4 linked regions of the Astyanax mexicanus genome follow. The protein of the gene in region 2 purifies or fractionates together with the protein of the main gene of each other region. This does not show direct contact. Links are inferred from orthologs where the notes say so. Each region holds a gene or a part of one and is shown on either strand. Other genes may lie near its edges. The genes, in order: sart3, prpf4, zgpat and cd2bp2.

Evidence for each region.
Region 1: the proteins of prpf4 (region 2) and sart3 purify together in Homo sapiens (affinity purification with mass spectrometry; 5 studies listed by BioGRID and IntAct, counting the BioPlex papers as one, with this or other methods). This does not show direct contact. The link is inferred for Astyanax mexicanus from reciprocal best matches to the Homo sapiens genes PRPF4 and SART3.
Region 3: the proteins of prpf4 (region 2) and zgpat purify together in Homo sapiens (affinity purification with mass spectrometry; 4 studies listed by BioGRID and IntAct, counting the BioPlex papers as one, with this or other methods). This does not show direct contact. The link is inferred for Astyanax mexicanus from reciprocal best matches to the Homo sapiens genes PRPF4 and ZGPAT.
Region 4: the proteins of prpf4 (region 2) and cd2bp2 purify together in Homo sapiens (affinity purification with mass spectrometry; 3 studies listed by BioGRID and IntAct, with this or other methods). This does not show direct contact. The link is inferred for Astyanax mexicanus from reciprocal best matches to the Homo sapiens genes PRPF4 and CD2BP2.

The regions. Positions count from the first base shown.
Region 1 is NC_064429.1:3,642,183-3,649,828, forward strand, and holds the start of sart3 (squamous cell carcinoma antigen recognized by T-cells 3), read left to right. Parts: upstream 1-4,633; 5' UTR 4,634-4,645; coding exon 4,646-4,846; intron 4,847-7,646. UniProt on the Homo sapiens protein: U6 snRNP-binding protein that functions as a recycling factor of the splicing machinery. Promotes the initial reassembly of U4 and U6 snRNPs following their ejection from the spliceosome during its maturation.
Region 2 is NC_064408.1:18,604,135-18,611,455, forward strand, and holds the start of prpf4 (U4/U6 small nuclear ribonucleoprotein Prp4), read left to right. Parts: upstream 1-4,304; 5' UTR 4,305-4,494; intron 4,495-5,473; 5' UTR 5,474-5,505; coding exon 5,506-5,668; intron 5,669-7,321. Other genes in the region: anaphase-promoting complex subunit CDC26, read right to left, coding at 1,286-1,468, 3,120-3,200. UniProt on the Homo sapiens protein: Plays a role in pre-mRNA splicing as component of the U4/U6-U5 tri-snRNP complex that is involved in spliceosome assembly, and as component of the precatalytic spliceosome (spliceosome B complex).
Region 3 is NC_064423.1:17,420,631-17,427,545, forward strand, and holds the start of zgpat (zinc finger CCCH-type with G patch domain-containing protein), read left to right. Parts: upstream 1-3,906; 5' UTR 3,907-4,011; intron 4,012-5,526; 5' UTR 5,527-5,551; coding exon 5,552-6,150; intron 6,151-6,422; coding exon 6,423-6,556; intron 6,557-6,691; coding exon 6,692-6,856; intron 6,857-6,915. Other genes in the region: rtel1 (regulator of telomere elongation helicase 1), read left to right, coding at 86-187, 1,477-1,704, 1,876-1,998, 2,377-2,432. UniProt on the Homo sapiens protein: Transcription repressor that specifically binds the 5'-GGAG[GA]A[GA]A-3' consensus sequence. Represses transcription by recruiting the chromatin multiprotein complex NuRD to target promoters.
Region 4 is NC_064426.1:15,180,422-15,188,417, forward strand, and holds the start of cd2bp2 (CD2 antigen cytoplasmic tail-binding protein 2), read left to right. Parts: upstream 1-4,985; 5' UTR 4,986-5,067; intron 5,068-6,190; 5' UTR 6,191-6,191; coding exon 6,192-6,266; intron 6,267-7,467; coding exon 7,468-7,600; intron 7,601-7,996. Other genes in the region: mylpfa (myosin regulatory light chain 2, skeletal muscle), read left to right, coding at 1-35. UniProt on the Homo sapiens protein: Involved in pre-mRNA splicing as component of the U5 snRNP complex that is involved in spliceosome assembly.

The sequences.
Region 1 (7,646 bases), on a different chromosome or scaffold from region 2:
GAAATAAGTGTTTATCTGGGTTATTATTAGTTGTTAGCAATTTCAGCCACTAAAAAATACTAGTGTTGTAGTACTCCAGTCTGTCCTTGATCTCAAGACCATAAACCAGATTTGGAATTGTTTTTGTCTTACTTTCAGGAGAGATGGACTCAGAGACCCAGAAATTCCAATGTGTCTCTCCTAGGTAATGCTTATTCGAAACCAAAAATACAAACCCACACAATCAATGTTAAAAAGGACAATAACCCAGTGTTATTTTCTGACATTTTTTTTAATGTGATAAGCTAATGGTGCAGACTGCAACCACTGTCAACTCCTCAAACCAGAGCGAATAGGGTTAGCTGTGGTGCTATTGGTGGGTCTGTTTGTTTATATTAAAGGTGAGGTGCTAGACTAATACCGTATGTATGTTTATCAGATAATTAATGTTTCAGAATAATAGAGATATGATGAGACAACTTATGCCCCAGTCCTAATATGTCCTGTGTGTGGCAAGTTAATCAGCCATGTATACAGTTGCAAGAAAAAGTATGTGAACCCTTTGAGATCACTTGGATTTCTAAATTAATTAATTATCAAATGTGTTGTGATCTTTATCTAAGTCACAGCAATAGACAAACACAGTCTGCCTAAACTAATACTACACAAACAATATATGTTTGCATGGTTTTATTGAAAACAACATGTTAACATTCACAGTGCAGGGTGAAAAAAGTATGTGAACCTTTGGATTTAATAAATGGTTGATCCGCCTTTGGCAGCAAAAACCTAAAAAAAACGTTTCCTGTAGCTGCAGATCAGACCTGCAGTCAGGAGGAATTCCTCTTTACAAAACTGTTTCAGTTCAGCTATAATATTCTTGGGATATCTGGTGTGAATCGCTCTCTTGAGGCCATGATGCCACAGCATCTCAATTGGGTTCAGGAGGACAGGACTCTCCAGAAGGCGGATTTTCTTCTGTTGAAGCCGTTCAGTTGTTGATTTAATTCGGTTTTGGGTCGTTGTCCTGTTGCATCATCCATCCTCTGTTGAGCTTCAGTTGGAGGATAGATCTTAAGTTTTCCTGCAAAATGTATTGGAAAACTTGGGAATTCATTTTTTTGTTGATGACGGCAATCCGTCCAGGCCCTGAAGCAGCAAAGCAGCCCCAAAACATAATACCCCCTCCACCATGTTTCACAGTTGGGATGAGGTTTTGATGATGGTGTGTTGTGCATTTTTATACACATAGCGCTGTGTGTTCCTTCCAAACAACTCAGTTTTGGTTTCATCTGTCCACAGTTTATTTAGCCAGTACTGCTGTGTAGAACATCCAGGTGCTCAATTGCAAACTTCAAACGTGCAGTATTGTTTTTTTGGACAGCAGTGGCTTCCTCTGTGGTGTCCTGTTTTCTTTATTGTAGATCTGTCAACAGAAATGTTAGCATGTGCCAGAGATTTCAGAGAGTCTTTAGCTGACACTCTAAGATTCTTCCTCACCTCATTGATCATTCTGCGCTGTGCTCTTGCAGTCATCTTTACAGGACAAACACGCCTAGAGAGAGTAGCAACAGTGCTGAACTTTTTCCATTTGTAGAGCGTTTGTATTACCGTGGAAACATAAACATCAAGGCTTTTAGAGATAATTTAGTGACCCTTTCGAGCTTCATGCAAGTCATCAATTCTTGAACGTAGGTCTTTTGAGAGCTCTTTTGTGTGAAGCATGATTCACATCAAGCAATACTTCTTAAGAGCAGCACACTCTAAACTGGCATTGGTTTTTATAGGACAGGTCATCTTTAACCAACACATCCAATCTCATCACATCCTGCCTCCAATTAGCTCTTAGAAAAGTCATTAGCCTAGGGGTTCACATACTTTGTCCCTCCCTCACTGTGAATGTTAACATGTTGTGTTAAAAAAACATGCAAACATATATTTATGTGTATGGTATTGGTTTAAGCAGACTGTGTTTGTCTATTGTTCTGATTTAGATGAAGAACAGAACACATTTAATGACCAATTTATGCAGAGATCCAAGTAATCCCAAAGGGTTCACATACTTTTTCTTGCAACTATATATTAATATTGGATTGCTTTACCAAAGAAAAAAGAAGGTACAGGTGAGAAAAGTAAAGTGAAATGATGGGATTTTACTGTCCAGTGTGAGCAGAGGTCTGAAAAATACATTCTGAGTTCTGAGGAACTTTCCACTTTTAGCTATTTAAATTAGACCAGGTAATAGAGAATGTGGGAGGAATGTTTGATAACAGTTTTACAGGTTTACCTACTTATATGATAAAAAAATACTTAAAATGAAAGTAACATACCCGTCCTAAATACATAATAGTTTGTTTGTCTCCTGTAAACTCTGCTTAACTTCATTTACAGTCCAGTTTATTTTTTTTAGGGGAAAAAGAGCAGCGAGGCTGAACAACAAGGTAGTAATGCTCTGCTAATGTTGCTGCTGTTAAAGATTTTCACATATACAATAGAATAAGCAAATGGTGCCCTGTAACTGCAGGACTATTTACAATGTAACAGCTTTATTCACACATCATTATTAGTTAGGTCTGGTATATATTTTAATCAGCTTTTCTCAAATTTGCTGGATGGATTTCTATTCAAAGTCCATTCCATTTGAGGAATTTATTTTCAAGAGATGGTAAAATGGCTATTTCACTGTGGTTTTAGAAATACAGCCATGCCAGAATTAGTTCATGAAGTAAAAAACACTTTTTCTTCTGTCGTCCTGCAGGCAAAACTACTAATCCCAAACATCAGTGAACTTATGGCCAATTTCCTGATTTCTTTTTTTCTCTATTTTGCTGTATATATCTGTTAGTTTGTGTAGCGAAAACAGTTGAAATGTATTTGTACATGTCATTTTCCAACCTTGCATCTTCTACAACTAAGTCTCAGATTGTGCTACTTGGTCTTTAAGACTGATATATGCAAATTGTTCTTTTCTGATTGGCTGGTCTGTATGGCGCCTAATTCCTGGGCTGTTTATTTATTTTTATTTGGTTATTTCAACAGGAAGAATCAGAAACCGCACAGAATTGGTTGACATAAAAAGGAAAAAATAAAATAAAAACATCCATGAGGGTACAGTTATGCAAAGCGTCCTGCCCACAGTTCTTACAGTCATTCTATTTGTGTATCCTAAACTAAAAAACATAAAATTGTGAAAAAAAAAATCTGGCAAACAGTTTCTTTAAATATATGAGCAGAAGTGGTTAAACATTTAGATGGTTGACATGTGACCCTGACTTCACGCTAATGCCATGTAATTGTAGAAACAAACAATGGGTCTATTCTGGCATTACTCCTTTAAAGTATATTTGTCAGATACATATTCATACATGAAAAAAACTGAATAATATATAAAGTAAATAGAACATATAAAACAACAAAAAAAGATAAAGTGTATATGTCATATTCCGCCAAATCTGTGACATTTCTTTCCCCAGGAAATTACATGTATAAATGTGCACAGGAAAAACTTTACTTTAAAATACATTTTATTATTGAGCATAATGTCTTGTACACTGACCAAATTCCTTCAGAGATGTAATAAATATGCTTTAATTTTTTTTCCACAATAGATTCATTATATTTAAGTTAAAATACACATTTTAGTTGTGTGCCTGAGTTACCGTAACACATTACCCCATCTGAAACATCTGGAACATTCTACAATTCACATCTACAACATGAAGTGACATCAGTTGGTTCATCTGAAGACCATGGGAAGACAAAAATTAATATTTTTTGTGTATTTGATCTTATTGTAACTATTGACTGAGGGGGCCACTCTCAACACTCTGTCCTGTAATCTAAATTAATTCTTAAATCTTATTTATTTTTAAAATACAATTTTTGGGAAAATCACTCAATGTGCTCAATTTCCTCATGCTTTTTTCATGTTTTTGCAAATTCTATGCTAAAAGCTCATTCTTCTTAATTTTATACCTGTTGTTAAAAACACAAAAAGTAACAGGAGTGATTTTTTTTGTCATAAATATCAATTATTAGACATGCAGTCAACCATTTCTTTAAAATAAAAACTTTCTTGAGAGGAAATGAAAGGAAACAGTGGACTTGCTTTTAAACATGCATTTTAAGCTTACATGAGTTTTGTAACCACCATTTACAAGCTTAGACATATGTGTTATTAGATTCATAGTTGAAAAAGGATAAAAAAACTAAGTTTAATTTGGAAGAGTTACAACAAGCAAATTGCAGCCATTGGGTGGAATAGCGCAATATCAAGTTAAAATGTTCAACAAACTGCTGTCAGAAACAAATAATTAAAAATAAATTTCTTTTTCTCCTCCGCTTGGCGGGAAACGAGCTGCGAATGTTTGTTCACGAGCCCTGACCTGAAAACAGGCGCTGTTAAAATTCCCACCTTATGCTGTACAAATCCCGCCCCTTCGGCTTCTATTGGTTTACTTGACCACGCCTTCTGCGCTATAATTGGCTAACAGTTCATACTCTCTGATACTCACAGGGGTACTTGTGTGTATGAAATACAAGCCAATCATAGCGCAGGCTCGCGGTTCACTGGCCAATCGTAGCGCGCAGAGGGCAGGGCTTGTGCGGAATGTGGGCGGGGAAGCGAAACACACATAACTCTGTTACCAGGCAGATCACTCGCAACATGGCGGCAACTGGGAACGAAGCGGAGACGTTATTGCCAGATATTGAGGAGGAGGAGGAAGAGGCCGAGGAGATGGAGCGGGAGATGGAGTCCGAGGACGAGGAGGGCATGGGTGTGGAGAATTCCGACGAGGAGGACGAGGGTGACACGTCCGAGGACGAGCGGGAAAACGAAGCGGAGATTCAGCGGCTGGAGGAGCAGGTGGGCTTTAAGTCTAACAGCTCCGTAACTGAGAATGAATGGAGGAACACACGCAGCTAAGCTAGCGGAGGCTAACGGTGTCCGCCTCCTTCAGGAATCGGTTCATTTGAACAGGTTCAGTTCGTTCAATGAGTTAGAATCATTAACCGATTCATTAGTGTTCTGTCAATGTGTGCCCCTTGTCAAACTGCTATTATAGTGTGTATTATTTAGAATTAGAAGAATTAGAATTTACAATCTACCTCCTAAACCAGCAGATATAGTAGATTAAAATGTGCCAAGTGTGCCATGTAAGTAATACAAGCTAAATTTTACAAATTTTTATGGTTCAGAATACTTTATATCATGTTTAGGAATTAAAAAGTAAGTTTTTTGGATTCATTAAAAATATATTTTATATTAGAATAGTAATATTAGTAAGATTAATATATGTTGTGTGCATTACAGAAAGAAAACAGCCTTCATTTAGCCTTATTTTTCCAGAATTGGAACATAATTCAGATCTGAAAGGGTTCAGTCACATTTTAGAATTTCATTACACTCAAGCACATTTTTTTACAATAGGTGTACAAAAAATTATTTCGCATGATAAACACACAAATGCACATGCGCTGAGCCAGTAACGTGCAGATATTTATGCATAGCACAACAGAACAGAACAGAGCAGAAGTCTTCCTAGAAAAAAGTGTGATATAACATATATAGTGGACCAACACCAGCAGATGACATTACTCTCCAAACAATCACTGATTGGTGGAAACTTCACACTAGACCTCAAGCAGTTTGGACTGTGTGTCTCTCCACTCTTCCTCCAGACTCTGATTTCTTGATTTACAAATGAAATGTAAAATTTACTGATGATCAGTGATGGTTTGGAGAGTCATGTCATCTGCTGGTGTTGACCCACTGTGTTATATCAAGTTCCAAGTCAGTGCAGTTTTTTCCTGAAAAAACTTACAGCACTTCATGCTTCCCTCTGCTGACAACTTTATTTTTTTTTATTTCATTTTCTAGCAGGACTTGGCACTTACCACAGTGCCAAAAGTACCAATTAGTCTTATGTAACATTCTAATTTACTGAGACACTGATTTTCTGGGTTTTATTAGCTGTAAGCCATAATCATCAACAATAAAAGAAATGAAATTTTAAAATGGATCACTCTGTGGTTAATGCATTTACATAATCTATGAGTTTCACATTTTTTAAACTGAGTTAATGAAATAGAGTAACTTTCCAATTATATTCTTATTTTCTATAGATTTACTAGATGCTGAGAAAACTATTCCAGGTGACTACCTTATGAAGACACCTTTTAGAGAGAGTTAAATACCATGAGTGTGCAGATCTGTATACCTAGAAGAAACCAACATAAAAACATATCCTGTTTTGTTTAAAAAGATAAATCCTGTATAGCTTTATCTTTAATACTAAATGTACAGTGTAAAAACTCTGAACGTATGTTCAACGTTCAGTTCAAGGGAACCGTTTGAAAGAATCGGTTCAGTAAGCTGATTCAAACTTTACTACCAAATACAAGCTAACTGGCTAACGTTAGCTTAGCTTTGGGGTGCGCAGTTTTCCAAAATGATGTAAAGTGTCACATTTTTACACTCTCTGGACAGTTAGCCGGACACACAGCTAGCTGTCTCTCTTATCTCCTCTATCAGAACCCTTTTAGGCTTTATTTAAGCTGTGCTTTGGGTCTGGAGAGAACTGAACCGAGTTAAACAGTAGTTAGCTGCAGCTGCGTGGGTTAGCTCAGCTAGCTAATGTTGTCCTCAGGGGTCTGCGTTTATTTATTAATTAATGGAGGGTTTTCTGAGAGCTCGCTTATGTTAGACGCGTCTATCTGTTGTTAGTTAGCAGGTTAGCTGATGTTTATCTGTGTTATTTGGTTAGTTAGATAGGTTATATAGCTGGGGTTGCCAGGTTCTGTCCTGTTTTTGTGAAGCGCACGTTGTATTGCCTCCTGGTTAAAATGCGCGCCGTGACCGTGGGCGTGAATAAACAGATATTTCCTGGTTTTAAAGTTTAATTAAAGCAGTTGTTAGAAAGCAGAACATTAATTTATTATTTCCAGCTCTATTCGCTACATGAGCTCTTTAGTAGGAGGTTAAACAGGCGGGAAAGTGAGACATGAATCCAGCGCTTCTCCTCTCCCGTTACGCAATGTTGTTGTTTATGTTCTGTACCGGTGTTCCAGCTGTGATGCCCATCGATAAGCGCTGCTTAGCGGTGAGCTCCGCGCGTCTGCACATTTATTAATGTGATTTATGTCTACTCCTAACGGTAGAGTAACTCATAAACCTAAATTAAAGCCCATTTTTATTTTACAATGTCAGCTTTTTTCAATATTGTGGCCAAACACTAACACAGACTTCTGTGATTTTTGTTCTATCTTACACAACATTTCAAACTATCATAAATTTCACACACCTCAAAAACAAATTTGTGTGCACTAAAAATAGGCTTCAGTGCAAAACTGTAAGCTATATAACCCACATACCATTAGTACCAACTCTGCTAGCTAAAAACAACTATTATAATATGTTCCTAAAAACAGCAGCCTGTGTATCCTGACATCCTGTGTATCCACGTAAAAAGTGATGACAAAAAAGGGGCCAAGTTGCAACAACCATCAAAAACTTTGATGAAACTGGCTCTCATCAGGACCACCCCTGGAAAGGAAGAGCATAAGATTCATCTGTTGCCCAGGATAAGTTCATCAGAATTACCAGCCTCAGGAACCACAAGTAAACAGCACCCCAGATAGGAGCACCTAAATGCTTCAGAGTATTT
Region 2 (7,321 bases):
AACAACTAGATTTTTTGTGTTGTTTTTACTTCTCGCTCCTCACTGATGGAGTGTGCCTTTTTGTTTATTTTGGACTTAACAAATGCCAGTCAATGAAGTCAACAAAGAAGCATCTGCCTTGTCATTGAGAAAACAGGCACAATGAAGAAGAAACAAATATATATATAGTCAGTTATTATACATGAAAGGATGTTTAATAGCAAATGTGAATGAAGAATGCTGTTGTGTTGATTTATTGTAGCTAAAATAAAAATTAATTTTGTAATTCCTCAAGATAAAGAACACATTGTGTTTGTACCAGCCTCCAGAAAATAGCACTAACCAACAATGTATTTTAGGTAACTCTTTTTTTTAATAATGAACTCTTAAATAAAAAGTGATTCAGCTGGCATTGAAGAACCACTTTTGGTTTTATAATGGGGATGTGTCAATATGCGTAACCTTTGAAGGCAACATTATGTTCGATATTTACTAAAAAATATCCTTAAATCAGCATAAACATAATTAAAATGCTCTACTCACTTGTAAATTGTAATACGATAAAGAGTGTCACTATCTTTGCTACTTGCAAGAGCAAGGGTCAATGCCAAGCCTGCATCTTTCAAAAGGACACTCGTGTGAAAAACATTTTTAAGAAACCATTATTGTTTTCTTAAACCAATGCACAAAATCATTTGAAGCGCCTTTCGTTTTAAGAGTGTGGTTATTAATATGTGTCAGTAAGCAGATAAAGACTGAATAGAAGTGACTAAACCTATGTTTACATCATCATCGAATAACTGGGATATTCTAAAGTAATGTAATCAGAACAGTATCTGGTATAAATCTGTTTGTCTCAAGTGTAGAATCAATGTTATAATGTTTACAGGTCAAACATACCTGCATAGTCTGAAATACAGTACTGTAATTAATTATATAAATGATAATGAAATGTGATTAAAAGCATGATGTGACTTCTGATTCCCTGTCTTGTATTTAAAACCTGATAAATCAGAATAGATTAAGATATGAAAAAGCCTGATAGATCAGAACAGATTATGTGTACTTTTAAGTTTTATAAAAAAAAAAAATAAAAAAAAGCAGATGACATTTTAGAAAATAGAGGGAGATTTTATTGATCTCTAACAAATAAGAGAATGCTTGCAAAAATAAGCAAGGAAACAACTTTGCCTGGTTAGTCCTTAAAATGCAGTGGTTATGACTTTGATCCTCTTCTCAGCCCATAGCAAAACAGGTTACTTTAAAGTCATAATGGCACTGTTGCACACTTTACACAGTCCTCCGCTCAAAACTGAAGGTTTCCAAATAATGATGGTAGAGTGTTTGGCTTTGGGTGAGGTTTGTATCCGATTCGCTCGTGGATCATCTGCTCTCTGGTCTTGCCCTCAGCACCTCCTGAAGCACCGCTCATCTCACTTGATGTTGGAACTCCAACCACATCCACTTCATCTCGCTGTTTCTTCCGACTCTAAAAACGATAAAAAATAAAAAAATAAATAATGTAAAGTGACTTTACAGTATCTGAGACAGACATTTATCACAAATCATTTTAGCTTAAAATGCCACAAGTCCTACCAACATTTTAGTTGTGTTATATATCCAGACATATCCTATAAATCCAGACATTCTGACTAGTCATATCAGGTCAACAAATCCAAGTGTAATTTTGACTAGTCATGTGTTTCTATTGATTTACATAAAATTTCATTGTCAGAATTTCAACATTATCCGATTAGCCCTTTAGGCAATGTTAAATAAATGTTTATTTAATGATTGTTTTTGCTATCAGGGATTTTCAGAATGGTTTATGCCAAATTTTATAGTAGTTATCTCAGCTGATATTTTTAATATTATTATATATATCCAGATCATATCATATATATGTAAATATTTTAGGGCTAAAACATTGATTTAACGTAAATGACGCCAACAATTTCATAACCTGCAGTTTTGACAGTTTGTTCTAGAAACCAGGCCAGAACTAGTGATATGGAATGTAAAAAACTTTAAAGCATTTTTATTCTTAAACTGTTAAAACAGAGCTGTAGAAGCAAAAAAAAACTTTTAGAATGTGTTACTTTTATGTCCAGCATTAGGCCAATGGACGAACACATATTTATACCCTCTCAGGATGAAAAGAAAAATGGGTAGGTTCAGACAAAATGTGCTATCTTCTGAAGTGTGTATCAGATTCATATATAATAATAATATAAAGTTTTTTTCCAAACCAGCAATTTCAAATAGTTAGGTTAGGTTAGGTCTCCTTCCTCTAAAATCCACTTTTTCTAGTTTTTGGTGAAATACAATAGGTCTCTCTGAGTTGTATATGCATGCTGCACAAGAAACTCTTCCTCAACCTCCATCTGTAGTAGCTAATAAAAGAAAATATTCAGAAAAACGAGTCGATCAGGAAAAGCACCCATGTCTACATCAATCTCGTCAGATAGGACGTAACAGAGCTAGAAACAGCATTGCAGTTTGTTCCTGTGTTATTTGTGCAAATATCACATCAGTGTTATATGCTTTGCCCAGTAATTCAGAGCTAAGGAACAAATGGTTAGAATTTGTCTATGGAACATTACCAGCAAAGTACAATTGAGATAGGTAGGTGTATTTTTATAACAGTTCTGTTTACACTTGCTTCAACTTCCTCTCTGCTGCGGGGTGGATTGTTACTTTCTGGACCTGGACTACCCACCTCTGTTTGTTTACGTAGGTTTACATAGGCTCTCTGGTGGGTCAGTGGCTGAACTGCACTTAGCACGGCATTATACATGTTGTAAAGTAACATATGACATTGCAAAGACTGTTATTAGAGTAAAAATGTTTTTATTTTAAAACGTTTCTAACTGTTGTCCGCCTCCTGGTCTCGCAGTGCTGTTAGCCAATTAAAGGCGATATGTTTGCATGTATGAATATTCATAAAATCCTATCGTTTCTCCGTTCAGCGCCTCCACAGGACTAAAGCATGGTTATAACAGATCACCGGAGCACTTTTTTTCTCAAAACCAGCTCACGTGGCATTCATTCATACTATAGGCCACAACCAGACATTTTACAATTTATTAAAAAACGATGGAATGAGACCTTTAATTAATTAATAGAGTTGATTAACTGACCTCAAGCTCCTTCTTCACTCCTTCAAACTCCTCGGTATCGTCCAGCTTCAGCTCCAGTCGTGTTGGTTTTCGGCGAAGCATGATTTTAGGAGGCTGGGTAGCTAATACTGCAGTTAACAGCTATGTATAGAACTGAAATACACTGTTTATCGATATTTCACAGCTGTTTCCGCTGTAAAACCACGGTTCAGCACAGCGCTGGTTATAAGCTGTCACCGAGACAGCAGAAAAAACGTCATTTTCAACAAAATATTATGGAGAAATGACTTTTTAAAGAGCTAAGTTAAAGCTAGCTTAATATAGTAAACAGGTCCAGTATGATAATGCTGCTGTGTTTCTAACAGCACGTTATTTACCCATAAAGGCGTTTACTACTGGATCTATAGCTGTTATATAGCTAGCGTTAGCAGTGTCGAGAACAGCCCCGACTTAATATCGAATTTAGAGTATAAATATCGATATATACATTTAACGCCAAGCAAGCAAGTTGGCGGTTGTTGCCTTGTCTGCCGGAAGTTGGTAACTACTCTAGCTAAGGGTTTCTGGGAAATGTAGTTCCGTTTTGTATTTTTTTTTCCATAAAGGCTAGAATATAATAACATTACATTAACATTTTTATTTTCCTTTTAACATTTTTATTTTCCTACTATTATTATTATTATTATTATTATTATTATTATTATTATTATTATTATTATTAATAATAATATTATTATATAATGCAAAATAATGCAAAGATGTTCATAATAATAAAGTTTTAAGAGTTTAGAAATAAAAAGTTTTTAATCACAGTTTTCATGCATTTTGGCATAATAAAAGACCACTTAAAAAGCCATCAAACCAAGCTGAACGGCTTGCAATTTAGCACCAGCAGTGACATAAAGTTATCCAAAATCAGTGTGTAAGACTGGTGAAGAAGAACATGCCAAGATTTTTTTTTATATAATATTTATTTAAATTATTTAAATTTTATTTATTAAAATTATAAGATTTTCGGGGTTTTCCATCCGCTATTGATTTCTAAACTTAAAACCTTATAAACTTGTTTTCTTTGCCATATTTGAGATCTGAAAGCTGAAAACATATTTATAAAATCCCCGCTTCAGTCCTCCAGATCCAGTCTCCGGTAGGTAGATGTCGCTGCGGCGAGCAGCGCTGCTTTTCTCCGTTCAAAGCTGTGACGAGTTCCTGCGCGCCGCTCAGATCGTGGTGGTTGTGTCGGAGTGGGCAGTGTGGGACTATGAACCACAACTTTACTTCAGATTCTGATTTAAATAAGCTGTAAAAAGCCTCTTCGTTTCCTGGACGCTGTGTAGTTTCAGTAGAAGGGCTCGTAAACTCAAAAACAGCTGGATTAAAGTGTTTTCTCGGGCAGGTTGGTGCTGATTTGGTCTTGAATTGTCTGCACTGGTGCCTTTTTAGTAACGTTACTGTAGCTGTAGCGCCTGTGTTCGTTTGAGTTGTGCTATCTTGTAAAAACGTGCTACTCTAGGGTTTATTTAAAGGTAAAAATACAAAAAGCACCATGTTAGAACATGCAGCCGGCAGTGTAGGTAAAGTAGTTATTGTGGTAGCCTAAATCACTGTATCAAGGAAGATTCAAGACAATAAAATTTTAGTTGTTAATTATTATTATTATTATTATTGTTATTGTTATTATTATTATTATTATAGTGAGCGAGCTTAGGTTGTTTATCCAATATATAAAAAAAAACATTTATTTTGTAAAACATTGCACATATAAACATAAACACCTGATGGACATTAGACTTCATTTTCATATTCATTCTTTGTGCATTGCCAATTTGTTTAGTCCCTGTAAGATAGGGCATTTATTTATCTAAAATACTTTATTCTGTTAAGATTATTCATATTCTCTATAACTATTTTGATAATTATTAAATATATTACTACTGTATAGTTATTTATAATACTTATTTATTGTTTAATGTGATTGGGTGCTCCAATACGTTATAAAGAGTATTTAACTCTGTTAATAAAGCTGCTTATATAGAACAGCTGGTAAGACAAGTAGTCGACAAGTCTAGGTAGGATATGTGGATAGATGTTTGGATCACTGTAAATATATAGGATAATGACATAGTTTTTTCATAATTTATATTAAAATCTCAATTAACACTTAAACAATAAGAGTGAGTTTAGATTGTATAACACCAATGGAAAACAGAATTATCATGAAACACAATAAAAATGGAAAAAGTGAATCAGCGCAAGCGCAGAGCTGCTAGTTAGTGAATATTGATGGTTGGCATAAAATAGAACATTCATTCTTATGGAGCCCCTGTAAGTTAAACCCAGTTTAAACCTTTTAAAACCTTTTTTCTTTCAAACAGGTGGTGCTGAACTCAGTTGAGCCCCTTGAAAGATGTCTGATGAAGATGAAGCCCCTCTGGTAAAAAGGTCTCGGATCTTCTATGGAAGTCTTGAAGAAAAGGAGAGGGAGCGTCTTGGCCGTGAGGGATCCTCAGGCTCTGGGAAAGATGCTATTAAAGCTGGAATTGAGGCTGGAAATATTAACATCTCCAGTGGTAAGACCTTGCAGAGCTGCTTGAAAATATTTATTTAAATGTAACTCATTAACTCACTATAATGTTTTAAGATGGAGACACTGTGGTAAAATGTTTTATAGTTTAAAAGGTATGAGATTCATAAAGAATACACAAGAGCAACAACATCCAGTGGATTTTTATCATCAATTAGAGCAAGTAATAGAGAGAGAAACCAATACCACAGATATTCAACCAAACATTATTTCAGATTACCAAAAGCTAAAACTAACTACATGTGCAAAACAGTAATTTATAGAGCTATTAAAGAGTGGAATTATTTACCAGAATCATTAACTAAAACTGATAGCAAAACACAGTTTAAAAAACGAGTGAACAAAACATTATCTAACTAATATTAAAGACAGTAAATCCTAACTATTAAATTGAACAGTGGAGGAAGTTGTGCAAGGGAAAATCAGGATTGAATAGAGGTGATGAGGTGTCTAGGACACACTAGATTATTATTTCTTTGTTTGTTAGTTTTCTGTGTAACTATTTTGTGTAGTTAATATTCACTTTTTATGTATATATATATGGAAATGTGAACATTCTTTTGTACGTGTGTGTGTGTGTGTAAAACAAATAAAACACTAGAAAATCTTCTGCCCAGCAAACTAGGGCTGGACCCGAATATTCGGGTATTCGGATATTCGTTCGTTGAGTAGGTATTCGGTTTTTAATTTTGGTATTCGGATATTCGTTTTTTTCCTCCTTTCCAGAGTTCCACCTCACTCTAACCACTTCTGTTCTCGCGGGTCCCGTCAGAATATCTTGCGCGCGGGACAGAACTGAACTGTTATTGGCTGGAGCGGGAGTTTAATCCAGACGATGCGGGAGCAAATTAATAAATAAAGTAAATTTTAAGCATTAAATGTAGTTTATTTAATTTATATTAGGAACGTGGGGCGGGAGCGGCAGAAATGTGTATGTGGCGGGCGGGCGCGGGATTAAAAGAAGCAATTTTTTTGCGGAGCGGTAACGAGACAGAAACGCGGGAGCGTGGAAGAGTGGGTTTAAAAATCAGTCTCGCACAGACCTCTATTATACATGATAAAAAAAAATGCAGGCTCTTCGAAACTGATTTATATAATAAAACGTAAGGGGTAATGTGGCAACAGTAGGGGCTAAATCGGTTACAAAAGCCTGGCCTACAAAAATGATGTCTGAACGAATTTCCTCTTATCTAATATAATTTAAAATGGTTTAAAAATATAAAATAATTTCTAAGCAAACGAAATATTTAATATTGAGCTTATAGCCCAAGTGCAAAAATACAAAATCAGTAATATGCCCTGCACAATGCTTAAACCGAAATAGACCAAGTACAATAACGTCATTAACAATGACTTTCCTCTACTCTAATATAATTTAACATGGTTTAAAAATATAAAATAATTTCTAAACAAACGAAATATTTAATATTGAGCTTATAGCCCAAGTGCAAAAATACAAAATCAGTAATATGCCCTGCACAATCCTTTAACCGAAATAGACCAAGTACAGTTTACAATGACTGTCCTCTAATATAATTAACAATGTTTAAGAATATAAAATACTTCCTGAACAAACGTTTTTTTTGTTTGTTTTTTTAAGCAAATAGCCTAAGTGTGAAAACACAAACAGCAATTTACT
Region 3 (6,915 bases), on a different chromosome or scaffold from region 2:
AAACCAGCAAAAAAAACGTGTAAAACTGATGTGAACCGATGGCTACTACTTCTTCTTTTTTTTTTTCTTTTTTTTTTTTTTACAGTAAAAGCGGAAACTACTGAAAAAGCCACAATCAAAGAACTAGACTCGAGCAAACAACTGAATCAAGGCGGCTCTCATTTGGGAACACACAATTTGTGTGGTGGTATGTACCCAAAATCTGTCTTAAGCTTTGCTACTCATGCACTATGTTAAAAAATAAAAAAATGAACACAAATATTGCAATGCTATTGTTCCGTCTATATCGTTCAGTCCTTTTACAGACTAATGTCGCAAAAAATGCTAATGTTGGTCAAAATAGTTGAACCTATGTTGGTGAGATCTTGTTTATTTTTAGATTAGGGTCCGTATTAATATAACATGCGTTTTGTGTCAGTAGAATAATTCATACAAACTCTGGTAACAATACACTCAAAAATAAAATACGTTTTTGTAATATAAGTATGTTTTCTAAAAGTTTTAAAGATATATAATATATAGTAATTTAGACAGTTTAGACAATTATTTATTTAGCTTTTTCATTAAAGAAGAAACATTAACCACTCCCCAGTAATGGATTAATATGGTCAATGCAGTATATGTAATGTAAATTTTTTTTGGAAAAAAAAAAGTTGCCATAAGGCTGCAGATGTGAAAATGTACAAAACTATTGTCAAAATAGACAATTTACATAAAGAATGAAAGACCAGATTTCACTGAAACACAAACAGACTAACTACTACCAAGAAAACATATATTTTATTCCTTTCTCATCGGTTTTACTTCATTTTTATTGCACAGTGATTTAAGGCATCCTCCGTGTTAATAGTTCCTTGTTCTGTATACTTTTTTTATATTGAAGGCATAAATAAAATGTGATAATTTTAATATCAGAAGTGATAACAAAAGAAAAATTGTACATTGTAAATGTCAATTCTTGGAAGGACACACTTCAAAAAATAAAGAATTACAAAAAAAGAAGTTAACCACTGACATCCGCGTGATCACAACCCTCACACTGTTTAATTTTTAATTTAATTTTAATAAAGGGACTGAAGATACTTTCTGAATGTTCAGCAAATCTTTGTATCTTTTGAATCAAAATAAGTGTATCCTCAGCTTTGAGTCAACCATGCTTTCATTAAATTAATTCTATTATTTAAATTGTCCACCCCTGTCATGCAGCTTGCCATGACAGGGTGAACAAACACATGAATACATGCAAGTAAAAATAAAAAAGTGGCAGAGGTGGGTTTCTGTGTAGTCTGAAGTCTTATAAATATGATAAATAGTTAGAAGATTAAAAGTATATGCCAAAAAACACAAATAATGACCCACACACATATAAATAATAAACTAGTTTGCTGGAATAAGTGTTGTGTCCTCAATTTTCAACCTCTTAAGGTCTAATGGTACTTCTAATGTGGTATTTGCTCTATTTTTCTCCATTTACAGTGGGTGCAGTGAAGGATCAGAAACCACAGAAGCCACAGACGTCAGGAAAAGATGGCCAGTTCAGCGCTACCCTTCTGTCCGACATTAAAAAAGCTATTGGTTCTGAAAAAACCAATCAACTATTTATAGCGTTGCAGACGTACAAGAAAACAAATAATTATGAGCAGATGGTATCAACAGTTGTGGGATTGCTGACAGAGCGGGACGAAGACATTGTCCTTTTAAGACGTGAGTTTTAATCCCATACCCAGGAAAACATTTTGCTGTTTCTTATAATATTATAAATAAATATAATATTTATTTATAAGAAACATACTTATTATAAATAAGTAGAGAAATATGAAAACTTAACTGCTACTTTTGCTGATGATTTTCTTTTTTTTTTCTTTTTTTGTTTAGGGTTATCTGTGTTCATCCCGCCACACCACAGTCAGCAGTTCTCTGAGATGTTAAAGTCTTTGACTGGCAGTGCTTCAGTGACCTGTGAAGAATCAGAAGAAGCTTCCAGTCACCCAGTTCCAGGTAGAATTCAGGGCCTGCATTTAACATACATCACAGCCTAAGATCAGAAAGTCCTTTAAGCACTACTGTTTAAGATTATGGTCGAGTCCTATATCAGCATTCGTACTCGTAGGACTTTAATAAATATGGGCTCAGATGATATTTACACAGATTCCATGGATAAGCACAACATGTATTTGTTAATCCTTATTGATTTTCATGAAGAAATCATTATTCATTTCAAGTCCAAACCTCACATGTTCTGCAGTAGATTCAGCTTTTTGAAAAACAAAACATTGATTTCTTTCATTCTTCATTCTGTCATTATATTTTAAAATATATTTAATAGTGGAAGTATAATGCAATATTGATTTAGTCTTGTTTCATTTGTCTCCACAGCATCACAACTCTCAGCAGGAAAATCACAGAGCAAGATATCATCCTTCTTCTCCTGACCAGGGGAATCCAGCCAGACATACTGATTTGTTTGGTTAAAAGTAGAAATACCATCCGATATGCAGATTAATTAGGATTAAGTGAACTCTTTCTCTATCAGAATGACAAAAAAAAGCAGGATTTGTTTTGGTTGTTTATGTAATGTTTCATTGACCAAAGATGAAAAATTATGTATGATTTATGCTATCTTAACTATTTTAATAAAAACAATGGTATTTGTGTTTTTTCAAATTTATATTAAAATATATATTTGTACTTATTTCTTGTCTCGTTTCCCATTTGTGGATAATATTAACTGTGACAAGGCACATTGAAACTTTCTGAACCTGTGCTGGATAGTTATGTAAAGTAAATTAATGTAATTTACTGTAATGTAATTAGGCTATGCCTGTATACATTATTTGAATAAGTAAAGCAGTACAATAAAGTAAAATGTATTTATTTGCCTGTTTTATACAAGTTTTTATTTATTTAATATAAACTCAATAAGTTTATCTAATGAAAATTGTTTGTGTTATGTTTAGAATATTTTAATAGATACTAGTGTCCAAATAATTAATGACATTATATTAAAGGCAATTGTTATTTTTAGAGTTAAGATAAGGGTTATTTTCATGTAAAATGAGTAGATTAAGCAATTGAGTCTGGTAAAAAAAAAAAAGACAGGATATTAAAAAGCCATAATATCTTTCTATAGTCAAGGCAAGTACATTGTACTTTTTGTTACGTAATGAATGGTTCAAAGGGAGTATTTTTGCATTACCTCAAATACATGGTTTAAATCATTATTCCTTTGTCCAATCCTGCTGTTCATGTTTCTGCTTTTTTTTTAAGTTTCATTTGTCTCCACAGCATTACAACTCTCAGCAGAACAAATAAAGATATTAATAATATACTCTATATCTAGGTAAATGTATGAAAAAAGCATATTATATCCCCAAGGTTCAGGTTCACAGAGCATGTGAGTGACGTCGCTGAGGTAGTGTCTCTGTGGGCGGTCAGAGTTGCCAGGTTCGCGTTTTTTCCTCCAAATTTGGCTTGTTTTAAAAATCTTTTCTCTTTTGAAATTTTAGGGGTGGCGGGGTGCATTTTTTTTGGGGGGGGGGGGGCTACTTAAAAAAATAGCGCAGCCGCCAAAAAAAAAAAAAATTAACAAAAAAAAAAAAGATATCACAGGGCGATGAAAATAAAATATTAAAGAGGAGAGAAGAGAGTTCAGGAGGGGCAAGAACAGTAAAAGTCATTTTTTGCTAATTATGTTACTATTAAATGTTACTAATGTTACAATATTATTAATGACTTTTAGGTAAATAGCAATACTAATAATAAATCCCTTATGAACAAAATACTCAAAGTGTACAAAAGTCGTACACGTATTGTTTTTTGTCATTTACTTCAAACGTGTAACAGACATATTTTGGGCTAGTTTAAGCTTCTGAAGGGCGGGTTTAAGACTGAGTTAGGGCTGCATATTTTCGTTGGACTTGGCAACCCTGGCTGCTACAGAGCCGCACAGGGCAGCTTTAAACTACAGAAACGCAGCAGAGTTTATTCGCTCGGACGTGAACACTATGTAACGTAAGATATAAATACTGAGTGTTTTTTTACTTCTTATTTAATATCTTTTAATGAAGACTAAACTCACCAGGCTGTTAAACAGCTACTATTATCTTAGCTAAGCTAACTGCTAGACAGCCAAATGCTAGCTAGCTACAAGCCGGGTTTGTTATTAGCTTGCTAGGTTTAGCTAGCTCACTGTGTTGAGGTAGTTATATGGCGACTTCCACAGATATTCTTAGTTAATTTTAGATTTAAAAAAACACTTTTGTTCCACCAGTCATGTAGTTGGTTACTCTAATTATTAGCTAGAGTGGTTTTATTGAAGGAAGTGAGCTGGTTAGGTAGTTAGTTAGCTTGATTTGTGGAGAAGGTCAGAAGGCAGAAGCTCGTCAGTAAAAATGTTATTCTGTAATATTTTGGCGAGACTATCTAGCTAATAAAACAAATACTACGTTTTGAATGAGATACATGTACTTAACTATCAAGGACATAGTGCTGCCCATAGGCAACAAACCACATTTTTTGTTTTTCCATCCATTCATGTATCGTTAATATCTGTCTATCTACTTATCTACCCACCCACTCTCTCCCTTTCCTTGTTCTTTATATCTATCCTTATCCCTATCCCCTGTTTAATTTGTCTGTAAGAGACCACGTCAGTTTCTCTGATCTTGGATCTATAGGTAAACGTTTGAGTAAAATAAACACTGTTGTTTTATTCTATAAACTACAGACAACTTTTCTCCCAAATTCCTAATAAAAATAATGTCATTTAGAGCATTTATTTGCAGAAAATGAGAAATGGCTCGAATAACAAAAAAGATGCAGAGATTTCAGACCTCAAATAATGCAAAAAAAAAAAAAACGTTTATTTTCATAAAAGTCCAGAAATCAATATTTGGTGGAATACCCCTGGTTATTAATCACAGTTTTTATGCATCTTGGCATGTTCTCCTCCACCAGTCTTACACACTGCTTTTGGAAAGCTTTTTTCCACTCCTGGTTGCAAAAATTCAAGCAGTTCAGCTTGGTTTAAGAATCAAATAAACTCAGAATTTTTTGCAAGCTGTATTAATATGTGCAAAAATATATAATTGGCTGTTTATATTCTTACTGTTTTTGTAAACTGTTTTTGTTGCCTTTTTAAGTTGTACCACATTAGTTAGATTAAGCTTGATGTAGCAGTGGTTCTTTTCTCTGGTCCTACAGACCACCTTCTCGCCTGCATGTTTTGGGAGCTTCCTTGCTCTAAAACTCCTGATTCAAATGAATAGCTTGTCATCATAATTCTAAATCTAAATTTAAGTTTGTTATATCCACAGGGACTTCCATGCTTTCACAAATGATATATTTTCTCCCTAAGAATACAATTAATGGCATAAAGGATTAAATCTGCCTTTCTGTCTCATAACCATAATTACACTTTGCATAACATATACAACTTGTTTTCTCTTATACCCAAGTCAATTACAGAATAAAAATGTTATATAAAAGCTTTTACTGCATTATTCTCTTATTCCTCTTTATCTGCAGGCACCTCCTTTCATAGCTCCCTACCATGGATGAAGGCAACCTGCAACAAGCCATTGAGACCTACAATGCTCAGCTTCAGCAGGTAGAAGCTGCACTTGCTTGTGGTCTGGGTGCTTCAGAGCAGGCAGACCTGCTGAAGTTAAAGGAGGATCTTGTACAACTTATTGAGCTCACTGAATCCAGCTTGATTTCAGTCAAGAAGAGCCAACTTTTTGCCTCAATTGAGGATTCCCAAACAAAGCAGGAAGCGCCAGCAGAAACCCAAGAACTGTCCAAGAAGAATAACAATTTGGATGATGAGTTTGCAGCCTTTTATTCTGGACTTTCTGAAAGTGCTGCGGAGGTAGCACAAAGCCGCGGGCCTGATGATGATGAAGAGGAAGTGGATGATGAGGAGGAGGAGGAGGAAGAAGAAGATGACTACATGAGTGGTACTAAAGTACGAGCACCTTATCGCACCTCTTGGGGAACACTTGAGTACCACAATGCCATGGTAGTGTGCTCAGAGGAACCAGATGGGGATGAGGCTCGAGTGAGAGTCCTTTACCTCTATCCTACACACAAGTCTATAAAGCCCTGCCCTTTCTTTCTGGATGGCAAGTGCCGCTTTATGGATAGCTGCAGGTATGAAAACCTTATTTTTTTAATTAAGTTTAATTATTAGTTTGAGTTTTTCATTTTTAGTTTATATAACCCTGAGATTGGAAATGGCACCAATCTGTTGGTGTTTTGTTTTTCATTGGGTATTTTGCACAGAATTTAGATTCATTCAGGTGGAAGCATATTTGCATGTGTTATTGTACTGGATTGGTTTTGTGATTGACATTTCAGCCATCTCTGGGTAATATGGAAATAATAAGCCGCCTCTGCCTGTCTTTTTGTTTGTTGTCACTCAGGTACTCCCATGGGGAGGTGGTATGTGTGTCCGAGCTGAGGGAATTTCTTGAAGCAGATCTCACACAAATGCAGGCAGGATCTTCGTGTTTGGCCAAGCATGAAGACGGCATCTGGTATCCTGCCAAAATCACAGGTACACCTCCTCAGCCGTTCTGTCAAGATTTATTTCAACGTCAATGATGAACATGGCAGTTTCATGCTTAATTTTTCTGTATAAATTTGTTTTTATTCTTTTAATTTTTTTTTTTACTTAAATACACATTCACAGAGATCGAGGATGGCTTCTACACGGTTAAATTTGATTCCTTGCTGCTAAAGGAAGCTGTCCTTGAGGCTGATAGTGTTATTCCCCCTTTGCGACCGGATGAGTCCTCCTCTTCCTCCTCTGACTCGGAAGATGACTCTGAGGAATGTGAAACAGGTTATGCTAAAGGTTTGTTTCTTTAAGTCTGTGTGGAGAATCCCCCAGGAAAATTTGAAGTTGAAATGCTC
Region 4 (7,996 bases), on a different chromosome or scaffold from region 2:
ACGTCATCACACACGGAGAGGAGAAGGAGGAGTAAAGACGGGATGAAAGGAACAGCGCGGAGAACAGGAAGATGAAGCGATGACCCGCCGTCCCTCACTGCTCTGTCCTGCCAGTCTGTCCTCTGTCCCTCTTTTCTTTCCTTTCCTTTCTTTTGTTAATCACCAGCACTTGTTCCCTCTGTGTCTCCTCTTCACACACTCCTCCAGAAAAGACTCGTCTCCTAGAGACTCCAAGAAGAAGAGCGGAGAGGCTAATGTCTGTGGTGTCCGTCAGTGGGGAAAACGGGGTTGTTTTCAATAAAATGTTACAATCTTTTAACATCATCTCCATTTCTCCTTCTAGCTCTCTCTCTGTCTCTCTCTCTTGCTCACCACTCATTTCTCCTCTTTCCAACCTTTTCTACCTTCATACCTCTACACTCACTGTTAGGTGTCTCTTTCCAGCCTAGGCTGCAACAGCTAATTAGGTAGATCTGAAAGAGTTTGTTGTGCTCGTATTCTTATGTTCTCGCTCTGGGGAATGCAAAACCAAATGGAGGGATCTCTTTCTACAATAGAGGAATCCAGAGACCCCCGTGTTGTGCTCCAGACCCTGGTGCTCTTCCTTCAGCAGTAGAAAACAAATCTAAAACATCAAAACGCATGAGGATAAGAAAAGGAATGGCACCATGAGAAAGCTCCGCCTCCTAAAAGTGATGGCAGACTTTTCACTGAGGGAGAAAGAGAGAAAGATGAAAACCCTGAAGAGGAATGGAGAGCGGCGACAGAAAGAACCCATTTCCGTCTTCTCTCCCCCTCTCCACTCCTCTGTTCCCCATGTATTTTGTGCTGTCCTCACCTGGGCTTCGCTTTGCTCTGTCACCAACTCTTCTGTAACCAATAAAAAGAGAGAATCTGTGAATAAAGCAATCTTATCTTTCGTACCTCTGCGTCTGTCCATACTGGCTAATTTACAGGGAGTAGCGGCTGAGGTCTGTTGATTAGGTATGAAGTATTGGGTGAGGAGATCTGAAGAACAACTGCAGTATCTCCATCCACGTTTATAGACATTTCCAGACTTTACAAATCCAAAAATGCCAGCTCAAGCTGGTCAAGCTGATTGACCAATTTAGTTCTTGACCAGCACAGAGTATTTTTTTGTTTGGGTTTGATGGTTTAGCTGGTTAATGGCCAATAACTTGACCAGTATGACTGAAGTTGATCAACCATCATGACAAGCAGAACCAAGCATGACCATAATTGAATGCATCATTCACTATGCCACTCACAAGCTGGTTAATTTAGGGTATGTTTCCCCTGGAGGAACAGCTTTCAAACACCATCTCAGACCATCTGAAACCAGCTACCAGCAAATGCAGGTCTGCATTTGTAGCATGGTGTTTCTGGGAGAGGTGCAGCGAAAGTACAATAAACCTGGTGAAACAGAAACAAAGTGAGAACATACCACCCTGAAACAAGCTGAGCAAGGATTCCGGAAACACTTCTTTTATTTACAATAAAACTCTGGTCATTTGGAGTAACAGATCAGACCATTAACTTTAGTCAATTGTAACAAAAGTAACACATTGCAACAGACTGCAAAATAAAGTCAGTGGATATTATATAGAAATATTTCCAGCAACAGCTAAAATTCATGCATTTCCACAGAATTAATTTTGCAACATGTTGCATGACTTCATTTTAAGATGGCAACGCCCAGAAAACTACATCACTGTACTGTGTGTACAAACAGTGTTTTTTTTTATTAAACAATCAGTGCCCTTTTTTTGAAGTCTCAATGCTTACTTTTAAATAACAGGGCCATCAGAATTTTATTAATCAAGTTTTGAGCTAATTTGAGCTTGTTAATGGTGCAAAAATAGCGATTTCTTTATCTGGCCAACACTGTTACCCTATTGCTAACATTGTAAGCCTAAAAGTGCTGTATTTCGAAATGCTGGAGAGAATGGAGGTGGAATATTCAACAAAAAAGTTTGTACTTGTTATCATGTTTCATTACACCCCTAGTCAATTTTACACCAGATTTCTCCTTTAAGTCTGAGACATATAAGTCAAGCCCCTTTGAATACAATTTGTCACAAGATCTTAGTAGTGAGGGTGTGGCCCACAGAGCTCAGAGACTTTGCTTGTCAAATTGGCAGTAATCACAGTTTTTACATTTTATGGCAGATCCATAGAGTCATATCAGAGAATTTCAGAGCGCAAAATACCCACTGTAACAGGTTTGTTTGACTCCCAAGTGAAAAAGTTATGTGTTCATACAGACCGCATATAAGTCTATGGTCCATCGCAGCTCAAAAAAATGGTTATAGTTAATGTTCTTAGAACGTTCAATCTGTCAAGTTTTCAGAATGTTCTTAGAACATTTTTTTTTATTTAAATGTTCTGGTAACATCGCTGCAAACTTGTGTCAGCATTTTTAGTTTTAGGAATGTTTCTTTAAATTTTTCCATATTGTTAGTAGTTTCTCTAGCCACACCCAGGCTTGATTACCACCATACTCACCATTCTCAATTAAGAAATCACTTAAATAGAACCTGTCTGACAAAGTGAAGTAGACCAAAATATACTCAAAAGCTACACATCATGCCGTGATCCAAATAAATTCAGGAACAATTGAGAAAGTAATTGAGATCTATCAGTCTGTAAAAGTTCATAAAGCCATTTTCAAAGTTTTGGGACTCCAGTGAACCACAGTGGGAACCGTTATCCACAAATGGCAAAAACGTGGAACAGTGGTGAACCTTTCCACAAGTGCCAGCCAGCCAAAATTACTGCAAGAGTGCAGCGACAACTCATGCAAGAGGTCACATAAAGACCCCACAACAACATCCAAAGAACTGCAGACCTTATCTAAATATTATTTATTCTAGTTGTATTCTATTTTTCACATTTTATTAAGAATAAAGTAAGTTACAGAGACTCCTCCTAAACTCTTAATATGAGTAATAATGAGTTAAATGAAAAAAAAAAAGAATTATAGCTAAAAGAAACAGTGAAATATTAGGAAAAAAATGCCAGTTAGTAATGCCATTAGTGTGATTTTTATTTCAAAATAAAAGATGTAACTATGCAGCATATCTATGCAGTAACACCAGACTGAGACTGCCCCTGGAACTGCAAGTGTCTTTTAATTTTGTATTACTTATTTGGCATTTGTATTTTAATATCATAAACCATAATCACTGTAGAATATTGCAGTTTTATTTGTAGAGAAACGTGTTATTTACCTCAGAATATGACACTCAGCCTTCTCACATCACTGTCTGTGGGAGAGAGCACTGCTGTGGAGGAGAATATTATATAATTGATTAAATGTGTGGCTCAATAAGTGGTTATTCTTAAAATAACGTTTTAATTATGTTAAAATATAAATAGCTTTTCTACAGAAGCACTTACTGTTTCTACATCAAATAACACCGTGTATAATTTATACAAACTGACCTCTAGACTTCGCGATTTTAAAAGTGATCTGAGGTAAAATGCTTCCGCCCAGTGGTGGCTGGCGTGTACTGCAGCTTTGTGAAATAGCTCCAGTCCATTAGACCACTGCAGTCCTGTGTCATTCTGTACTGTAATCCTCGTATGCCCAGATTCGGGGTTCTGTGTCTAAAGGGTTTTTGCCTATGAGAAATAAGAATGAGCTTTTCAAAAACTCCTCTCTATCAAATTCTGTAGTAAATAATTGAATTTTTAATATAATAGACAAAAAAATCACTCCTGTTAATGGCACTCATTCCTGTTACTGGAACTCGCTCCTGTTACTTTCATTCCTGTCACTCAAAACATAAAAAGTAACAGGAATGAAAGTAAAAGGACTGAGTTTTTGGCATAGAATTAGCAAAAACATGAAAAATAGCTAAATGGCGGCTATGCTAATAGCATTTGGACACTAAGCACATTCTAGTGATTTTCCCAAAATATAAAATTTAAAATATAATTCATGTCATGTTGTAAATTCTGGAATGCAACATAACGAAACTGGAATGAAGCAAAACATTCAACATTCAAAACAAATGGATGAAGCAGGATTTAACCTGATTAAACACAATGTACTGACAGTCTTGTCTGTCTGTTCTGTGGAACAACAAGATGATCTATCAATAAATAACTGAGTAAACAGTAAAATAATAAAGGTGAAAAAATGTCCAATTTCTTGCAGTAAGGCTCTCTTAAACAGTAGTGTATGTTGTACTGCTAAAACTGATTTACGATTCACAGGAAAAAGTGCAGAATTTTTAAATAATTTTTCAATCTGACACCAAAACATTAGCATTGAGTAAACCCTTACAGAGTAAACTGAAAGATCTAATCATTTAGACTGTCTTGTTTGTAATCAATGACTAAAGAAATGTTCATTCTGTCTCTAACATGCTCACTGATATAAATACTTACCTCTGGGTCATGAACTGAGTGAAATTAAATCATTAGCTGCTTATCTATTATGTGTGACTGTTTGTACAAACTGTTTTGAGAAATGGCCACACTGTGGTGCAAATATTAATTCTGAAGAACTGCATCAAAAAGCTGTAAACTGTAATCTAAACCCTATACAGCTCTGGAAAAAAAATAAGAGACCACCTAATGATGATGTTTTTCTTTGATTTTACCAAATTGAAAACCTCTGGAATATAATCAAGAGGAAGATGGATGATCACAAGCCATCAAAACAAGCTGAACTGCTTGAATTTTTGCACCAGGAGTGACATAAAGTTATCCAAAAGCAGTGTTTAAGACTGGTGAAGAAGAACATGACATGATGCACGAAAAATGTGATTTTCTGCGAAGAAAAAATGCTCAAAATGACAATATTTTCATTTGGAATTTGGGAGAAATGTTGTCCGTGGTTTATAAAATTAAACCACAATGTTCATTTTACTCAAATCTATATACCTAGCAAAATCATAGAAACTGATTCAGAAGTTTCAGAGCTGTATAACAGTGTAAGTGGTGGTTGCGCGGTGTCTCCAGCAGGCGGCGCTGTGATAAACGGCTCTCAGCTGAAGGAGGCGGTGTTTCCGTCCTGCAGTTGAATGGCGCAGAGGGAAAATCAGCCACAGCATAAAGGTAAACAGCTCGATTTCTCCACTATAAACATCAGATTTACCCTCCGCTTTAACAAACGAGGGACCTGCACACTGCTGAAATGTGTTTACTGTCCGCAGACCACAACTTCTAAATTGTGACTTCTAAAAAGTCTAAATATCCTCTAATCCTGCAAACACAGGCCACTCAGTGACTGTAGCTTAGCATAGGCTGCTAATCACTCACACACTTACCTACACTCTCATTACTGATCTTATTAATATCAGCACTGAAAACAATGACGTTACTGCAAACTGTTACAGCGTACAGAGAGAGTGTCTACCTGTAACAATACAGCTAGATATATAATCCATATATCTAATAAACCCAATACATATAAAGTTAGTTGATTGTGACAATGTCTTTCTGTAATAAACTCATTAAAACATTAGAATAAACCCAAATAAACATAAAGCAAGTGAACAGTAAGAGAGTCTACATGTAAAACTCTGTATAATATTAGAATACTAAACCCAAATAAACATAAAGTCAGTGAGTGTGTCTACCTGTAAAACTCTATATAACATAAGAATAAACCCAAATAAACAAAGGCAGTGGTCATTATAAGTTTCTATCTATAATTATCTATATATAACATTAGAATATACCTAAATAAACAGTCAGTATTTAGTGAGTGTCTACCTGTAAATAAAATTATATAACATTAAAAAAACTCAAATAAACATAAAGTCAGTGGTCAGTGAGAGTGTCTACCTGTAAATAAAACTATATAACAATAGAATAAACTCAGATAAACATAAAGTCTGTGAACAGTGACCTGTAATTAACTCTATATATAGTATTAGAGTAAACTCAATAAACATAGTCAGTGTTCATTAGAATATCTACCTGTAATTAAATCTATATAGTATTAGAGTCAACCTAAGAAACATAAAGTCAGTGATCAGACACTGTATGGACTTGTATGGAGTTTCTCCAGCAACTCATCTGATTTACTTTAATGAAGGACTAGTTAGATAAACAAGGGGTTGGATAGAAACTGGGAATACAGCAATCTTTGTATTGATTATTAATGTATTTTGTCTAATGTTACTGTATTATGTGTATAACATACTCTTGAAATCTCTCTTAAACTTTATTCCAGAATGTCAAAAAGAAAAGTCACATTTGAGGATGGAGATGGAGAGTTCAGTTTGGATGATGAAGTTCCAAAGAAGAAGGTATGTTTATACTTGTCCATCAATCCTGTATGAAATGGCAACAGTTCGACAAGTAAATCAGACGAATCATCTAAGCAAATCATCACCCTCTTTAAGTTGTATATTGAGGTCTGTTTGTAGTTGCTGATCGTCTTTTGCCATCTGTATGCATTTATTTATGGGATAAAGAATGGTTGGGATAGACTTGTGTAAAAAGAAGGCAGGGCTAAATGTTGTAGGCTTAGTAGGCAGATACACAGTATATGTGAATACAGTGAAGGAAATAATTATTTGATCAATTGCTGATTTCGTAAGTTCGTAAGCCCACTGATAAATACATGAACGGTCTATAATTTTAACAGTAAAAGATAGAATATAAATAAAAAATAAAATCCAGAAATCACATTATACAAATGTATTTGCATTTTGCAGAGAGAAATAAGTATTTGATCCCTCTGGCAAACAAGACTTAATACTTGGTGGCAAAACACTTGTTGGCAAGCACAGCAGTCAGACATTTTTTGTAGTTATTGATGAAGTTTGCACACATGTCAGGAGGAATTTTAGTCCCGTCCTCTTTGCGGATCATCTCTAAATTATTAAGATTTTGATGCTGTTGCTTGGCAAATTGGAGCTTCAGCTCCCTCCATAAGTTTTCTTTGGAATTGGCTAGGGCACTCCATGACCTTGTTGCCTTGGCTGTATGTTTTGGGTCATTGTTGGGCTGCAAGACCCAGCCATGGCCTATGAATCATCCACAGGTGCCTTCTTGACCAGTGGGACTTTTCGGGCACTGCAACATTACAGCATAATGTTTTACCAATGGTATTGTTGGTGACTGTGATCCCTGCTGCCTTGAAATCATTAACAAGTTCCCCCGTGTAGTTTTAGGCTGATTTTTCACCATCCTCCTGAATACCACACAAGGTGAGATTTTGCTTGGAGCCCCGAACAATGTCGATTGACTATTGCACCAATAGCTGTCTCGTTCTCACCCATCATCTTACTTAAGGTATTGTAGCTCATTCCAGCCATGTGCAGGGCTATGATCTTGTCCCTGACATCCTTAGGAAGCTCTTTGGTCTTGCTCATGTTGTAGAGGTTAGAATCTGACTGATTTATTGAGTGTGTGGACAGTAGTAGTCTGTAGGGGTAGAAGTCACATTTAACAGCCACAAAGTGTACATATAATCTAATTGATACTCTGTCTGTTTTTGTGCAGATGTATGATGAGGTGAGTGGTCCAGGCTCCAGGTTCAAGGAGAAACACTCTCTGGACAGTGATGAGGAAGACGAGGGTGATGAGGCAGAAAATGGCGACAAATATAATATTCTCGCCAGTGATGATGTTGAAGGTAGGTGTTGTGCCTGTCAGGGTGTGTCCACTCTCTCTCTTAATATGTTCTCTTTTTCACGTGTGTTTACTGGTGTGTCAGTGTGGGAAGTGAGCTGAGGACATACTGTCATAATTCTATTCAGACACTTGTTGGGTGTTGTACAGATTCTAATTACTTCCTCTACTACTACTAACTGTAATAATAAAAAAGTAACTTTATAATGGGAGATCAATAATTCTCTTGATTCTAAGTGCATATATGAATCATATCTTAACTGCAATGCTTAAAATATAGAAGAAGCAATAAATTAGGAGGTGTTTTGATACTTGTGTTCATGTAGTGTATAATCTTATGCTCTATTGACTACCCCAAGTTGTGAACAGACAAAGACGTTCCAGAAGTGCCACAGTTGAT